2 linked regions of the Lepisosteus oculatus genome follow. The protein of the gene in region 2 interacts with the protein of the main gene of each other region in a pairwise test. Links are inferred from orthologs where the notes say so. Each region holds a gene or a part of one and is shown on either strand. Other genes may lie near its edges.

Region 1 (8,095 bases), on a different chromosome or scaffold from region 2:
GTTTTGTTGGGGTTTTTTTTTTTTGAGAGAGATCTGAAGCAACACAGCCTCTGAAAGCTCAGAGATCTGTGTGTGCTGTACCAGGGGGATAGCAGGTGCTCATATGTACCAACAGAGCCACTCAAAGAGCTGGGCTCAGTCTGCTGTGCACTGATGGTGTGGTAGGTGTTCATCAGGATCAGCAGAGCCACTGACGGCCCTGTGTTCAGCGTGTGACTGTTCAGCAGTTGTCCAGCTGACCTGGGACAGAGTGGTGTGCGTGCTGTCAAACTCCTCCTGCTTCCGGCAGGCTTCAGCCAGCACAGCTCGATGGGACGGGTCCCACAGCTTCTCTTTGCGGTCCTTCTGCACAAAGAAAACACAAAGACAACCACAGGTACCTTAACACCTGCTCCCACAGTAGGGCACTGGGCACGAGGAACTAAAAATCGACCTTAATTAAAAAGCAAATCCAATACAGCTCATGCATCCTTGAATTGGAAACTGCTTTAATCTGTGTACCTGACCCTTTATCTATTACCTATCTGCTTAATGTATCTGTTTTTGACTTACTACCTTGTAAAAATAGCCAAAGGGCTCAAGAGTTAAATGATCCCATTACACTTTGCTAAAGTCAAACGAAGGCTGAAAAGAAAAAAACAAAATAAGCCTTGAGACAACATAGTGGGTAATTTGCACATTACATTGAGTGGGAGAAAATGGGATTGAACGGGACAACAAAACCAATATATAGTGTTCCCACTGTTTATTTACTTGTGCTTGAGAGGGCTGCAACAGCCACTGAGTTACCGAGTATCAATAAAAAATACTTAAGTCGAAAGTAGAACGTGCATGCACTGTTACCTGTACTCTCTCTTTCAGGGCTTTTGGAAAAAACTCGTATCCATTTTTGACACCGATGTGATACTTCCCCGATGGGTTTATCCATGTTGCAGGAATCTACAAGAGCAACAGACACGATGGCGTGAGACTGCACCTTTTGCATTAAAAACAGTATCAACACAAAAGGATTTCGAAAGGCATCGATTTTTCGGCTACTGAAGAACATTTCTGCGTGGTTCCGGGTAAAAGGGGAACCTCCCGTTCAAAGGTCAAGAAGTTCATGTAAACGAATGGACGTGAATCACAGCGGGCTGGAGTAAGCTCCTCAGGTCTGTTTGACCCTAAGAAGGCCCTGGACATTTCTCTCTACTCATCAGAGCGGCAGAAGAGCTAAAACACAGGCAACCACACAGAGCGCATGGCCACCTCCACTGAATGCAGCACAGCTGTCGCCATCAAGCTACAAAGGCAGGACAGGAAGAGAGCACAGACTCTGCTGACCGAGGGGCCTGACCTTCAACGTCCTCCCCGACAGGCCCACCACAATGCCGTCCTTCGGCTCCACCACCGTGGACATGTTCACATCCCCACTGCCCGTCGTGTCGATGATATCCACGATCTTCGGCTTCCCATCGGACGTCACCTAAAAAGAGAACGTTTTGACCGCGAGAGATGACCGAGAGCTCGAGGCGTGTGCAGCCGCTGGTCCTGGTGGGCGGCCGCACTCTGTCAATACCTGCTTGCAGAAATCAAGAAGACAACTACGAGGGAAGCCCTTTCAATCGAAGGGGTAGATACTTTATTGTCCACTGCTGTTGGGAATTTGTCTTTGGCTTCTCCCACGGAGAAGTACAAAAGAGCAAGCAATGTTTTTAGCCATTCTGGACAATTTTGCAAATGGCTAACTTCTAGTATAAAAGACTGGATTGATGTATTCATGTACAAATAAACACATCAATACATGGCAAGAGGTAAATAGGTCAGATTCAGTTATTGACGGCTTTCAACTTTTCTCGGAGCTCGGTGGATCACTGCAGTATCGCTGCCTAAAGCCCTTTCAGACACTGAAAAAATAGCCAGAACTAAATTTTATTTTTCTCCCTGTGTGCAAAAAATACAGATGGGGAGAAAAATGCACCCAAACTAGTGTCTAAAAGTGTCTAAAAAGTGTTCTGTGATGTAGACATATTTCAAAAGAAAACAGAATTGACATTATTGAAAAACTGAGCACTTCAGAATCAAGTTATATGAAATCCTGCTAACCTCACAACAGATTTGATTAAAATAAAAACAAATCAGAATAATGAATAAATTAAAATGGACCATGATCTTTTTTTTTTTTATTTGATGGGCAAAATAAATTCACTTACAATAAATGATAAATCAGTGCTAGGTTTGTTTATATTACACTGTCAGATTCATAATTAAAATATATCAGTATAACTACTCATATAAATGATGTCAGCTAAGTTGGGTTTTTTTTGTCGATTTTAGCTGCAATAATACACATTAAATTCCTACAACTGGATTTTTGTTTTAATGCCCAGCGTTTTCCATCTCATTTCATCACCTTGAGGATGTTGTTTTTTTTTTATCTCCACCAGCTCCGATAAAAGACAAATTTCATTCAAAAATATGAAACGGGACAACCCCTGCCCTGTTGCAGCTGGCACTGTTCAAAAACGTTTCAGCTAAAAGAAAACCCTGAAGGAAATTGCGATTGAAAATGGTAAGCAAAGCAAAGCAGAGCTGGGAACAGCTAGCGATGCAAAACAAACGTCAACAAACAAGTCTCGCTCAGGGTGCCCAGATACACAAGAGATGACTGGACACGGCAATGTGCCATTGTTAACCGACTTCACCGATGCAGGCCTGTGGAGAAGCGACCATGCATAAAGTCACTGTCCCACGCCGCACAGCCGGCTTCCTGCCGGGTAACTTCCATCAAGTGACTCCGGCGGCTGCCGACGTGCGGCCTGCACCTCCCCGCACTCCCCCTGCTGGTGTTACCTGCATACCCGGGGCCCCTGGGTCCACGCCGGTATCGAGGATGGCGATGAGGACGCCCCGACCATCGTACTCGGGGTACCGACAAAGGAAGGACGCGGCCCCGGTCTCTTTTTTGGGAAGCAGTCCGTGGAAAGGGAAGGGTTCTTCAGCACAATGAGCAGCCATGACCTGACAAAACGACGATGATAAACAATAACGAGCCGGAGCGGGGGATGAGAAACCGTATACACACACACTGCCTGAGCCGGAGACTGGGGGAACGCTTTTTAAAGAGACAGAGTCCACTTTTTCAGCCCGGTGCCGCGTTCAATGTTCAGGCGTTTTCCTTGGGCAGTTTACGATAACTCTTCTGTTTGTCCGTTTTTCTGGAAGTTACAGTCGATTTAATATCTGATTGCACAAACCAAATCATTAGGTAACGAATGTAATTACAAAAAGCACCCAATTACTGCAGCATCCTTTAAACTCACGGTTTTGGTTTTCTTTGAATAACAGTAAATATTAAATAAAAGATGCTATGCCCATGAGTGGTGGTGTATTCACAAGTGTAGACAAGCTGCCAGCTATGAAGGAGAGCAGTGAGGAGAATTCAGGGTCTTTATGGAAAAACTGTGCACCTATGCAATCTGCTTGAACTCAGTCCATTGGCAAACGAACAGCCTCAGCACACCATATTGTACAGCCAAACACACGGTTTCCACAAAGGCTGCAGGGTGTCCCGTGTGCCTTTGCTTCAAAATAATTTGAGTTGATGTTTTATGAAAATTTTGTTTTCGATTACCAGCATAGGAAGTAACAATCTATGCAAGATGGGCCGAACACATAATGAAGCAAAACAACGAATATGAAGCACAGCTTCTGTATAGAAAATACCCTCCTCCTCCAGAGAGGAGACTAGGAAGAAGCTGACGAAGTTGAAGTCTAGCTCCTGACCAGAAAGTCCAGAGTTCAGTCCCGGGTAGGGGGCAGGTGATGTAGCTTGCTCTAATTCCTTCCAGAGGGCTCCCAGGTCCACTCAGCCTGCTTTCCACTAGAGTACTGGGGGTTAATCCTTCTGGGGGTAACAGGCTGGCTGGCGCGTGGTGCTGACCTCATCACCTCCACCTCCAGTGTCAGATGGTTGAGGAATAATGGTGGCCCTTGCCCCCCCATTCCCCCTGGGCCTTAATGGCCTGAAAAGGGACCAACCATCCTGCCCATCTTTCTGTGTTGGGTCTTAATTGAAGAATTACAATCCCTAGCTATAGGCTAAGCCTGGCTTGTGTGAAACTGGAACCTTAATTCATGGCAATAATAAACTACTCACAACTTTGTTTTACAATCTGCACATCTCCATACAGATAAACTGGAAGTGCCCCAGTCTTAAGAATCACTCCAGCTGACAAGACAAGATACTCTTTAGAGAGAAGAATTAGTTCAGGTTAGCCCGTCTCCAGTGAGGTGTTTCATGTACAACAAGATATGTCTTACACTACAGGCAGTGGTGTGGAGTATAGGTCACGGCTTTTACCCCCAAATCAGAGGGCTACAGGTTCAAATCCTAAATGGGTTGCGATTGTCGCACCCTTGAGTGAAGGGTCATGCTCAGATTGGTCCAAAAAATGCAGAAACGAGTCTCAAGGATGTTGCTGTAAATGAGAATTTATTCTCAATTGACTTGTTTTGTAACCTAAATTAAAAAATGTAAGTACACCAATCATAATTCATTTATCTCTTGTCTCCATGCAATTGACTACCTTCCTTAGTACTGTTGGTCTTGTCCCTCATGCTGTCCGAAGTGCCCTGTTCATTTTCATCTGTGTGTGACTGAACATAACAGTTGGGGAGAAAAATATATTTGTTTCAAAATACTTCCAAAGAGTTACAGTTTATGAATGCAAAGAGAAACATTTGGTCCTCAGTGGTCTTTTTTTTTATTAAAAGAAAGTATGTTTCTCTGTGTTGTAAAGTAGTTCGTTTAGCTTTTTCTGAAGAGCCAGACTTTAAGAAAGTGGTGATTAATTGTCTGCCAACTCCCTTCATTTCCAAAGGAATTTTCACTCAGTTCAGCAGTTTTGCTCAAAAGACACCCTGAGACCAGGGATTAGGGATTGTCAGCACTGGGTATGAGTTTAGAGAGAAAGAGTGTCTTTATTACCCCAGGGGAAGCAAGTTGTTTTACAGCAGCAGTGTTGGTGTACAGACAAACAGAACAAAAAGACAGGAACAACAATATACATACATATTTACATTGAAGGTCAAGAGTTACGTAAGGATATGGCTACAGGTATGAATCTGTTGGTTTTGGAGCTGGAGAGTCGGTATCTGTGTTCTGATGGGAGTAACTGTAAATTATTAAACAAGGGGTGTGAATGATCATTGCAGATGGATTTTGCTTTGTGTAAAACACGTGAATGATAGATGGAGGAGATGGCTGGAAGATCAGCACCAAGGACCTTCTGACATATTTTCACAAGGCTGCCCAGTTTGTTCTTGCTTCTCAGATTCAGGTTACCAAACCAGCAGATCAGGGTAAAAGTTAGCACAGATTCAAGGCAGGGCCAGTAGAACAAAACCAACAAAGAATCATTGACCTTAAAATACTTAAGCTTCTCTGTCTGATATGTTACAAATGAGAGGAGCCCCTTTGGCACATCCCTCCTGTTTTGGTAGTTAACCAGTTATTTCTGGATATAACCTCTAGCTGTTTCTTGGAAGGAGCCAATGTCTCAGCTTCAAGAAGATGGCCGAGCGGTTTGTTCCATACTCCCGCAACCCTTTGGGTAAAGAGACACCTCCTGTTTGCAGTTTTAAAGGCACTTCACTATATACATACAGACTTCTTCTTGAACTTCCACACGTCAGTTTTGTAAGAAACCGTAAGCATTCATACCATAAATCAGTTTTGAATGTTTTCTAAATAGGTGCATTAGACATAATGCATGTCTAGACAAGCATAGGACTGATTCTTACTGACAAGTGAAATTGTGCTAGATGGAAACTTCTATACCTCCTACTGTTTTTTGATAAATCTACACTAATTATAGTTGCAATGTTAATATTCAGTGTTTCAGGTGCACTTCCTGGTGCTCTCTGGGTAATTATCTAATTTGTTTTCATGATTCAACACGAAAACAAATGAGAAAAAAATGGAAGAATGAAAGACTGTTTTGGTTCAGTCTTGACCTCTGGATTTACTACACTCTATAAACTTTCATTTCTGTTTGTTCTCAGTCCTTGTAATCTCATCCAATCTTGTTCAAAATGCTAAAGATTAGTAATCAAAGTGGATCGGTAACTTTCAGAAACTAATTGCATGTTAATGTTGTAACTGGAGGCTAGTTAATTAGGGTTGTGCTACAAGGAAGTTTGAGATGCATCACTTGAGAGCTGCAATTTTTTATGTCGTAAAACCAAACTCAGCTTCACAAGTGCACAGGACCGTGCAGTCATAAATGTGTGAAGCAGTCATGAGGGAAATTTTACAATTACATTTATATTTACCTTTTATTTCTTGCATCATAACTTGGTCAGTGGTATCTAAAAACATGTCAGACGCAGTTCTGACTGAAATTGTTCCAACTAAACTAATGAAGAATTTAAATAACAATCGTAGCAATCTGGGGAAGGCTTCTGTCCTGGAAACTGGAGGGTATCAAAGGAGCAAAAGGTACTGTATTCTTACACTGAAAGAAGGGATTTTCTGTTACTGTGCTGAAACACACTAGCACTGCTAATCTAAATCTCTTTAGATGTAGATCTAGACTGGGAGGGTTGAGTTGTCTGTCATTATGCTTGGGGACTAAGTCACACCACTTTATGAAATCCATTTGGCGATACCTGTGTTGTTTAAAAGTCTGTCTCATAAAGTACAGGGTAACTATATAGGATTGGCCACATTTGTGGTTTCAGAGGTTGCTGTTACCACAGGCAAACACCAGAGCATATTAAACCAAAAAATTCATCATGTCTTCACTCTCCCACATGCTAAGCCCTCACTAAAAATGGTTTCTGGTGCTGCCACTATACATGGATTACGTCTGCTTTATTGTAAATGAAAATGATCGATTTGAGTTTATACACATGGACACACTGACCTGCCTGAAGTGCTTCCTTACCCTGTAACTTCTCTAGGTAAACTGCTTTGTAGTGGGTAAGCAATTAATTACAATTCCTCATGGTCCTAGAATTTTGCTATTATTCTAGGTGGACAGGGGGTGTTAAGAAATGGCATGTTCGTTATTTGAGATGTCTAAGGTCTCATGCTATTACTCTACATTAAACTTCACGACCAGTGTCCCCCCTTGCATTCTCAGCTGTTGACACTAGGTGGCAGCTTACTACTATTTAAATGATCTGTCAAACCTGCGCTTTTGTCGGAAAACATGTTCCGTTTGTTTTCTGAAGTAATGTCTCTGCCAAGTTAGACAATCTCTTTCTTTTCTTCACAGGAAAAAGAAACAATACAGAATCTTACCCACACAGACTGGGCCTGAAAATAAAACAAGGAAACAAAGCATAACTGTAATAGGCCTAACTCTATTGTAAATGCTGCATTAAGCCCCTGACAACAACTGTTAACATGAGGTTACCCCTTATGAGCTGTATGTGCAAACCAGGAGTGATCAGCATTTTAATGTAAATCAGTACCATGTGACCTCAGACATCCTAAATAACATTGCTGGCACTCAAAGTCTAAATGAACATGCATTTCTTAACATTCCTGTGGGCCTAGATTGATAGCAACTCCATGCAGGTCAGCTTGTGCATATGTAGAATCAAATCTAGCCAGGGTACCAGGGTTTACAGCCCTACTCCTGTGAACAGTCTCATGGGATCTCTTAATGAGCTTGGTCTGTCTTAAGACAGCACCTCCTGCAATGATGTGTCCCTCCTCTAGAGAGAAGAGCACCACTAACATCACTTATAGTTGTAACTTGGTGCTCCTTGGATGTCTCGGATTCCGGTACCGATCAGGCCCAGACTTGTTTACGTTCTGATATGTGACAGGATCAAGCTACAAGCTGGTGACACTGCTATTAGCAGCTGTCACGCCTTCATAGAAATCTGAGGACATTTCAAGAATCTCTGGTCTGAATCTGTGAGCTTTTCCACCACTGTAAACTAAAATGCACAAAGGAACAGGTAACGGGTGTATCCTGTGCTGAAAAGAAAAGCAAGGAAACACAGCGTTTCGGCTCTGGAGCCTTCTTCAGGTGTGAAAGACAGGGCAGACAGCAAAGATTAAATAGCACAGGAGAACAAAAGCTGGACAAGTGGAGGA
Region 2 (8,098 bases):
TGTAGACCAATGTACTTAGTCTAGATTGTCTTTGCATTTGTAATGAATTTGTCTTCTAGTTTAGTATGTTACAATTGTACGGTGACACTACATGTATGAATTGTCCTTAAATATGGAACTACAAAATCTAATTACACCTTAACAAATACAGTTAGCGAAGACACTGCTCGGTGGTCTCCCTTTCCTAACTAGAAACTGTTACAAGTCTCATCTCTGGTGAGGAGACAAAGTAACCAGTTATATATGTTACAGAGAACTCTGCTTACAAATATTACCTTTTCAGCCTTTCTCATGTTAGATGATTTAACAAAGTTACAAAATTAACTTTCTGCACAGATTCTTATTTCAGGCCTTTATACGCAAGGCGCCAAAGTCAAGCTGCTATGGTTACCTGTAGTAATGAGTTCCAGAGCAGCAGGAATCCCAGTGAGCCGGGGCAAGCGTTGTGTGCCCCCTGCAGCCGGAAGAAGACCCAGCGTGACTTCTGGGAGTCCTACCCGAGCCTACAGCACCAAGAGCAGGAGAACAGTATGAGAAAGAATGACTTCAGCAACGAACGTCTACCTCCCACTAAAACACAAATGTCTAGATAACTCTGATCACTAGGTACTAAATGAAATTAGACTAATGCAGATATAAATGTCAATTCACTGCACAAACTATTCCCCAAATTAGCAGTAACTTGTGCAGAACTCAAGTCATGTTCAGGAGAAAACAGACAACTCCATTTCCAAAGGGAATTTTCACTCTGTGAAGACCTATTTCTCGCAAAAAGTCCTCTTTATAAACATGATGGTATACAATAAAATACGTGACTTATTCAAGTTCTGAAAATAAAAATATAACCAAATAGTACACACAGAAAATAAAGCGAAACATGTTCAACCTGTCACACAACCAGAAACACATTTTTTTCTCTAATGAAATTATTTGTTTGCAGTGCTACCTGTGACCTACTAGCTTCTCCAGACACGAGAAACCAACAGACCCCTAACATTGTGTAGCAGTTTGATACATACAAGGACTTATTGGCATCTAATGATTATACTGATGGTGCAGGAAAGAGAAGAAATGTCCTAGCTTGCTGGTTGACCTTACCTCGGAGTGAGCGATGCGGTAATGACAGCCCAGAGCCAGCTCCAGCCCACCCCCCAGGGCCACGCCCTCTATTGCTGCCACCACGGGCTTCTCGCCGCCCTCAATCTCGTCGATCAGGGGCACCAGGGCTGGGCCGGACATCGTCCCCGAGAACTCCCGGATATCCGCCCCTGCACCCACAAAAAACATGACAGCAGCTTCTGGTCAGCAAAAGAGACCAAGAACACTGCCTACAGTACATTTCAATGGCAATTACACTAATAGAGGATGAAAAGAATATGAACTGGCAATATTTTTTAAACATTTTTATGAATTTGCACATTTTTTAAGAGAACAAATAAATGGGTTTATTATAGGCCTCTCATATATGAATGGAATTGCTGCTAGGTCATTAATATTTGCCTTTTTTCCAGTCTGGTGAAGCCAGACTTAAAAGCATTCACAGTTTCATGTGCACTGTTTCACATACCATGTTCAAAAATAATCTCCAGCTAAGCTGTGTTTACAGCACTTTCAGGGGGATAAAATCAATGTTACAAAGTCCAAATAGGTACATGACCTACCTATTTCAATAAAATAAATGTGTTTTTATTGATTTTTCATGAAGAGAAGTAGATTTAAAGCATAATGTTTTAAATCCAATGTTAATTTAAATCTAAATGCTTTTAATGAGTTTGGCATTCCTTGAATATTACTGCTTCCAAGGTAATTCAACTGTTTTCTCCAGACTTTAGCTTAGGCTTTACTTAGCTTGTGCCTACTGTTCTATCAGCTCTAGCACTGGCTAGCTGATGTTTGTACCTGCTAAACAACATCTGAGTGTTCAGACAAAGCCCATATATACTGAATATTAGCTTGGACCACACCCGTTTTTTTTTCAGAATTACTAATATATCACAGGCATTTGATAACTTATTTTAATGTTCCAAGTTCAGTTTGTTTACATAGCTCATACTGTGCTCATACTAAGCTATATTTTTCAAGCTAAAGAATGGCCACTCAACTTTCAACCAAGAACCTAACTGCCACTTTGTCAATAACAGACACAGTCCTTTCCTTACCAGCACAAAACATCCTGTTGTCTCCACACAGCACAACAGCTTTTACTTCTGAGTCAGCACCAGCTCTGCTTACTGTCTGACTGATGGCCTTACGTACTGTGGAGCTGGAGGACATTATAACAATCCACATTATCAACATTGCAGTGTTCCCAATGTACATAGCACAGACAGATTCATACAGTGAATTCATACCTCCTAAATTATAGATCTGCATTAAATTAAGAGCACTTTTCACAAATTAAATTAAGTGCAAACCTTCACAAACCAGAAGGTACAAACTGGTGAAGGCTATTACATAGTATGAACTTTATATAATTTCCCTCCTAGTTTCTGCAAGAAAATATTTTGAGGGCTTTGTTAAAGGGAATGTTGATTGACATCATAAATAAACAGACGGACAAGAAAAAAGTGAAGGACAGTTCACAGTTCAAAGACTACATTACCCTTCATAACTTATATAAAGTTTTAAAAGAGGCAATAGGTGTACCGTATGTTTCGTGGTGATAATTTAATAATGTTAATTTATGACAGACATTTATTTTATAAAGCCGGAACACGCAGCTTGAGGGTGAAAACAATGTTGCAGCTCAGTGTACAGTATAGCTACTAAGGGCATACACACCGTTCTTGCACAGCTAGTGCAGATGTCTATAGCAGCACACTTATTTTACATAGTTTGCCCAGTAACCTATGAAAATATTTAACTAAAAAATCCTTACAGTACTTTTCCTTTCAACTTTAGTCTGTTGCGTTGTCAATGACATTACCAGCAAGAATACATAACTATTTTTACTTAAATTAAGCTTACCTGAGTGCATTGACGGGTGGGTTAGTCAACGTTATTACAGCAACGGAGCCAGGAATGCGAGTATAAACTGCCATTTTGTTTTCCACAGAGACTGATAATACTATCGTTCCACTAACAGATGCGCTAGTGAAATACCTACGAAACCTTGAACTTTAACCAGGTGAGATCCTCACCGCAATACGTAAATGTAGTCTGCCAACCAAAACATTTAACCTTATGTTTTTTAGTTGCCCGAAAGGAAGATATGAGTGCACACAGCTAGTCAGATAGGTCAAACTCCCGAGTTTACACAAGTAAAATTCCACACCATTATTTTTGTTTATACTTTTTAAATTTCATCTTTATGTAGATATTAATGGAAGTGAATCGGTTTTCTTGTTGAATGAGTGTCTATATCTAATTGAGCAACGCTTATTGTTAAGAAGCAATACATTTATTGATAAAAGAAACAACAGTTCTCTGCAACATGTTTAAATCTGAGGTTGTAGCATATACGTAACTTCAAAGTCCACGTTTAAAGCTACAAGGCCATGTGCATCTGACGCAAAACTACGCCAGTACCACACTGACTTTACATTGGACTTTGACATCGAGTAGCGTGATGCTAGCTGCATTTAGCGACGCTAGCTTGGCAGAGATATTTTGACGGATATACGTGATCCGTCTTACTGTTATCAGTCCGACTGCTCTTAATGTTCCCCTTTATTTTTGTTACCACAGTAATGTAGTTCCGCTGTCTGTACAAGGATACTGTAGGGAGAGGTTAAGTTGCTCAGTGCTCAAACAACATTGCTGTCACTCTGTAAGTTCCGGAGCTAGAGATTTAGCCTCTGAAGTGCTAGCCCTGGGACCATGCGATCTATATCGGGGTTAATTTTACTGGTCACTGCGGCTACTTTCTATCTCTACCTTCTCTCCACTTATTTGCCCCCGGGGCCGCATCACCCTCGTACAGGGGATGAGCCGGTCAAGTCCAATGAAAACTCGGACCCCGACTTGGGGTCGGAAGAACATAGGTAAGTTATAATTGATACTGCGTTCTTGGTCAGACAAAGACACCGCTACTGCAAGCATTTTGTCTCATTTCTCATCCAGACTCATGGGAAATGTCATAATCAAAAGTTGGCAATTTCATGTTTTCTCGTTTTGTGGTAGTGACCATTATGGAATAATGTAGACATTAAAATTTGTTTTTAGTACCGCGGGGATTGTTGAATAATATTGTACTACGTTAACATTTTTTAAGGTTGAGTATGTGGAATATGCTTTTAAAGTAAAAAATCAACGACGTGTCTTATGAAGGAAGATGTCTGTAGTTGATGCTGTAAGGTTTGAGAAAATAAGTTCATTTAAAAAATAAATGCTCAGTGAAATGTAATAACTGAGTACACAACGAACGCGTAATTCTATGATTTGTAATAATGCTTATTTATTGACACTGTCACCGGGGTGTTATAATCAATACAGACTTCCATCTTTAAGACTTGGAGGGTACAGTAACTACTTCCCAACTACACAGAAGAACCTTACATATACAGTAACAGGCTCCCGCTTTATTTAAATGCGACTAGCATGTATTCTAAACATGGCTGTATTGGTTTTGAAGCCATGCGTTTTAGTAAAACTTTTACTATAGAGCTTCAACTATATCAATTACTAATAACGCGTATTACATCTGTGTGCATGTTAAAAATGAATTTTGGTATGAAAGCGAGCACTCTAGTCGAGTACCTAATCTCCACAAAGGTACGTTTTAGTCTTATGATGCACGTTTTATTTGCGTAAATAATAGCAATAATAATACGACTTTTCTACTGTAATAATACGTGTAGCAATGCATGCATTTCTAATATGGAAATAACTAGACCCAGTAACGACATTCATTTGACTGTACGTTCGCTTTTCCTGGACTGTTGCAGCGGTAACACTGACACCTTTTATTTAATATTTAAGACATCGGTGATGTCGAATGGTCAGGTTTTACATACATTAAGTTTTGAAGATAATGTTCAAAAGCAAGACAAGCACTATGGGTTTAGAGGCATCACGGTATTGATACAATTGATTTTATTTATCTTAGTTAAACATTTTTGAGAAATGTGTTGCCAAATTTGGTGCTGCCATTAAAGGTTTGATAGTATGAAAGAAATCAGAAAAATCAGTCTCCAGTTTGTATGTAATATCCTGTTTTATGTAACCACGGATAGGGTTAGTTTGTAATGTTACCTTATTATTATGATATAAAAATAATGTGTATCACCACCATAGCCCTACTCTTTTAAAGTTATGAAGTGGCTGACAGTCATTTGTATTAAAAGGAAAATATAAAAGTAAGGCCTACACTATGAAAGTGATTAAAGTAAGATCTACATTGCTCTACACACAACATACAGTAAGTTGTGATGTTTATGTTTATAATATCTTGATAGATTTATGTTCTTATTATTTCCTTTCACAGGGTGACACAAAATATATAAAGAATGTATAGCTCAAATTCAAAAGGAGTAATGTAATATGGTCAGTGATTTTCTTCCCCTCTGTGATGATCACCTATTTATAGCACCACGTAACTGTAGATCTTGCTCTTGATCTTGCTTTCTGCTGGGGTTTTCCACAAGATCAGACACCTGTTTTGGGGGGATGGCCATGTTTCACGAAGTTAGTCCCCAACATGTCTAATCTGCAATCCGCCTGATCCCATTTGCAGCACTGCCATGCAAGTTTTCCGACCAAATGTGCTGAGCACCATAATTCCACGTGCTCTAAAACCCGTTTGAGCCACACCATCTCAGAAGTGATAGTGATACGGTCACATAGTATTCAACACCTGTTTTGAGCTAGCATATCTTCCTCAAGGGTTGGGTAAGATTCATAACAGATCAGTCTCGGATTTCGTTTTGTTGAGGGCTGTGTTCTTGTTAGTTTGTTTGGAATTTTAACCATATAAATAAACCAGCCAAGATTGCGCAGTAAACAGTGGTGGTATATAAAGGGGGACTGCTTATGTCAGCCTATCAAATCATCCTTCATCCATCCATTATAAGAAAGCCACTTATTTTTGGAAAGGGTTGGGGACAAACCGGATCTACTGTAATCCCAAAAGCAAAGGGTGCAAAGCAGAACTACACCTGGATGGGATACCAGTCCATTCCAGGAGAAAATAAAGGGAGAGCATGCAAACTCCATACAGAATGCACCCCTGCCTGGCATATATTCAAGAGCTGTGAGGGAGCATGGTCAACTGCTATATCTCAGTGCCAATTTACCAGTCTAATCAATCCATTGTAAATAAAAAATTCCATAGAAGGAAACATTCCATAATGTAGGGAGGAAGGAGCAAACAGTGAGCAGACAACTGCATGTGTTCCCAAAATGCTCGTGTGAGATTTTGTTTCAGATTTTGTTAACTAGAGGGTCTCCACCATTGAAAAGCTGGACTTTACTGTCATAAGACAATCTGTGGTGTAGTCCAGTATTTATTTTTTAAATGAAGTAGCATGGGCAGTCACAAGAATGTGCCTGAGCAGTGCTGATCTGGTGAATAAAAGAAAAGGAATTTTGTTGTTGGTAATTCATCAATATAATCAAGGGTTCCATTCTGTCTGGATTTCCTGTTCTTCAGGCACACATCCCCATGCATTCACCTAGAACTGTATTTTTAACAAATCTGGATGAACAAGTTTTAAACTTCATATTTATTTTATTTATTTTTGAGTATTATTTCTTTCACTTTTAAATTACAGAGTGAAATTTAGAACCTGTGTTTACTCTCCCAGAGGGAACTATGTTTCCAGCTAAAAAGGAATACAGACACATGCAACATGCCACTGTGACCTTGTGAAAAGAGAATGTCATTATGTAATCATTTTGGGCTCAAATAAAACTAGGTCACTTCAGAAAGGACCTGATTGGAAGTAGGCTTGCTGCATTCCCATGAAACACAATGTTGTACTTGCAATACCAGAGAAGGATTCTTTGTTATAAAACAGTGTGTTGTGTAAAAATTATTCCAGACACACTAAAACTAACTGAATGAGTAATAACAGTAACGTTTTCTTTGAAAGGTGCTATAAGCATATTAGGTAAAGCCTCCTTATTCATAAATCCCTTTGTGCATTTTTGTTACTGCAGTGTTATTGGGTCATACTGAATCGTAGGCTAAAGGTGACCTTTGACTGACATTGTGGAAACATACTGTTGATATGCTATCTACTGTATTGGTGATGGAGCAATGGGTAACTTTAAAAATAATAAAAGTAGAGACCTGGACAACTTGTACAAATTAAGAAAGTGGTTCACGACATCCAGATGTGTGAGCTGAAATTCAGTTGTAATTATACATACACAAGGAAAGGGGCCACACGTCCTTAGTATAGATCATGCAAGTCTCGAGGACTATTCAGTAAGTGATGATTATGCAATAATTTTAAATTTTATAAATAATGGATATTTCTATTACCATCATGAATGTGGTTTTCATTACAACTGTGATTACATTACATTACACTTACAATACTGCCTTTTACAGTTATTCATATTTTAGAATTTAAGTTAACAAACATCCCTATATGAATTTCAACTAAATTAATAACTGCAGTTCTCTTAATGTACATAATGTATGGCTGGAAACTGCATGATTAGGTCTATAATAAATAATCCACTTGGGAGCCCCATCAAAGATGAACTTTTTCACAGTATAACAAGAGGTAATGTGTGCTGCCACTTTTAAAAGGTGGCCACTGATGTTACGATGTGAGAAAGCTGATCTTTCAAATCAGGAAGTGATCTGTATGTAAATCTGAGACTTGAGCTTTCCCTCCTGTGTCGTACTCTTGTCTAGAGACCTGTCTGGTTTCCATCCCTCATCCTGTAAGACTGCTATGTCTTCTGCACTAATTCCAGCTGAGTTCTTAATCGCATCCTAATCATTTCCTTAATTCTTTCAGTTTGCTTTTGGTAAATTCAGCGTAGAATGGGATTTGTAATTTGTAATTTGTGAATTTAAGCACTCCCCTTGTTAAGATGTGTGAAATACAAAATAATGGACCCCAGAAGGAACTTATTTATTGTGGGAATGTTTGATCATTGCACTTCCCACACCTGTTCATAAATTGATCACCAGTTAATATTT

What was found. The genes of interacting proteins can lie anywhere in the genome.
Region 1: the proteins of ehhadh (region 2) and tpp2 interact in binary tests that used the Homo sapiens proteins (3 or more experiments, as listed by UniProt). The two-hybrid records come from large-scale screens. The link is inferred for Lepisosteus oculatus from reciprocal best matches to the Homo sapiens genes EHHADH and TPP2.

What each region holds. Positions count from the first base shown.
Region 1 is NC_090710.1:29,087,620-29,095,714, reverse strand, and holds the start of tpp2 (tripeptidyl-peptidase 2), read right to left. Parts: upstream 3,119-8,095; 5' UTR 2,998-3,118; coding exon 2,833-2,997; intron 1,466-2,832; coding exon 1,337-1,465; intron 940-1,336; coding exon 844-939; intron 346-843; coding exon 241-345; intron 1-240. UniProt on the Homo sapiens protein: Cytosolic tripeptidyl-peptidase that releases N-terminal tripeptides from polypeptides and is a component of the proteolytic cascade acting downstream of the 26S proteasome in the ubiquitin-proteasome pathway.
Region 2 is NC_090707.1:24,619,478-24,627,575, reverse strand, and holds the start of ehhadh (peroxisomal bifunctional enzyme), read right to left. Parts: upstream 3,433-8,098; 5' UTR 3,042-3,432; coding exon 2,968-3,041; intron 2,264-2,967; coding exon 2,160-2,263; intron 1,269-2,159; coding exon 1,099-1,268; intron 504-1,098; coding exon 392-503; intron 1-391. Other genes in the region: transmembrane protein 41A-B, read left to right, coding at 3,820-3,983. UniProt on the Homo sapiens protein: Peroxisomal trifunctional enzyme possessing 2-enoyl-CoA hydratase, 3-hydroxyacyl-CoA dehydrogenase, and delta 3, delta 2-enoyl-CoA isomerase activities. Catalyzes two of the four reactions of the long chain fatty acids peroxisomal beta-oxidation pathway.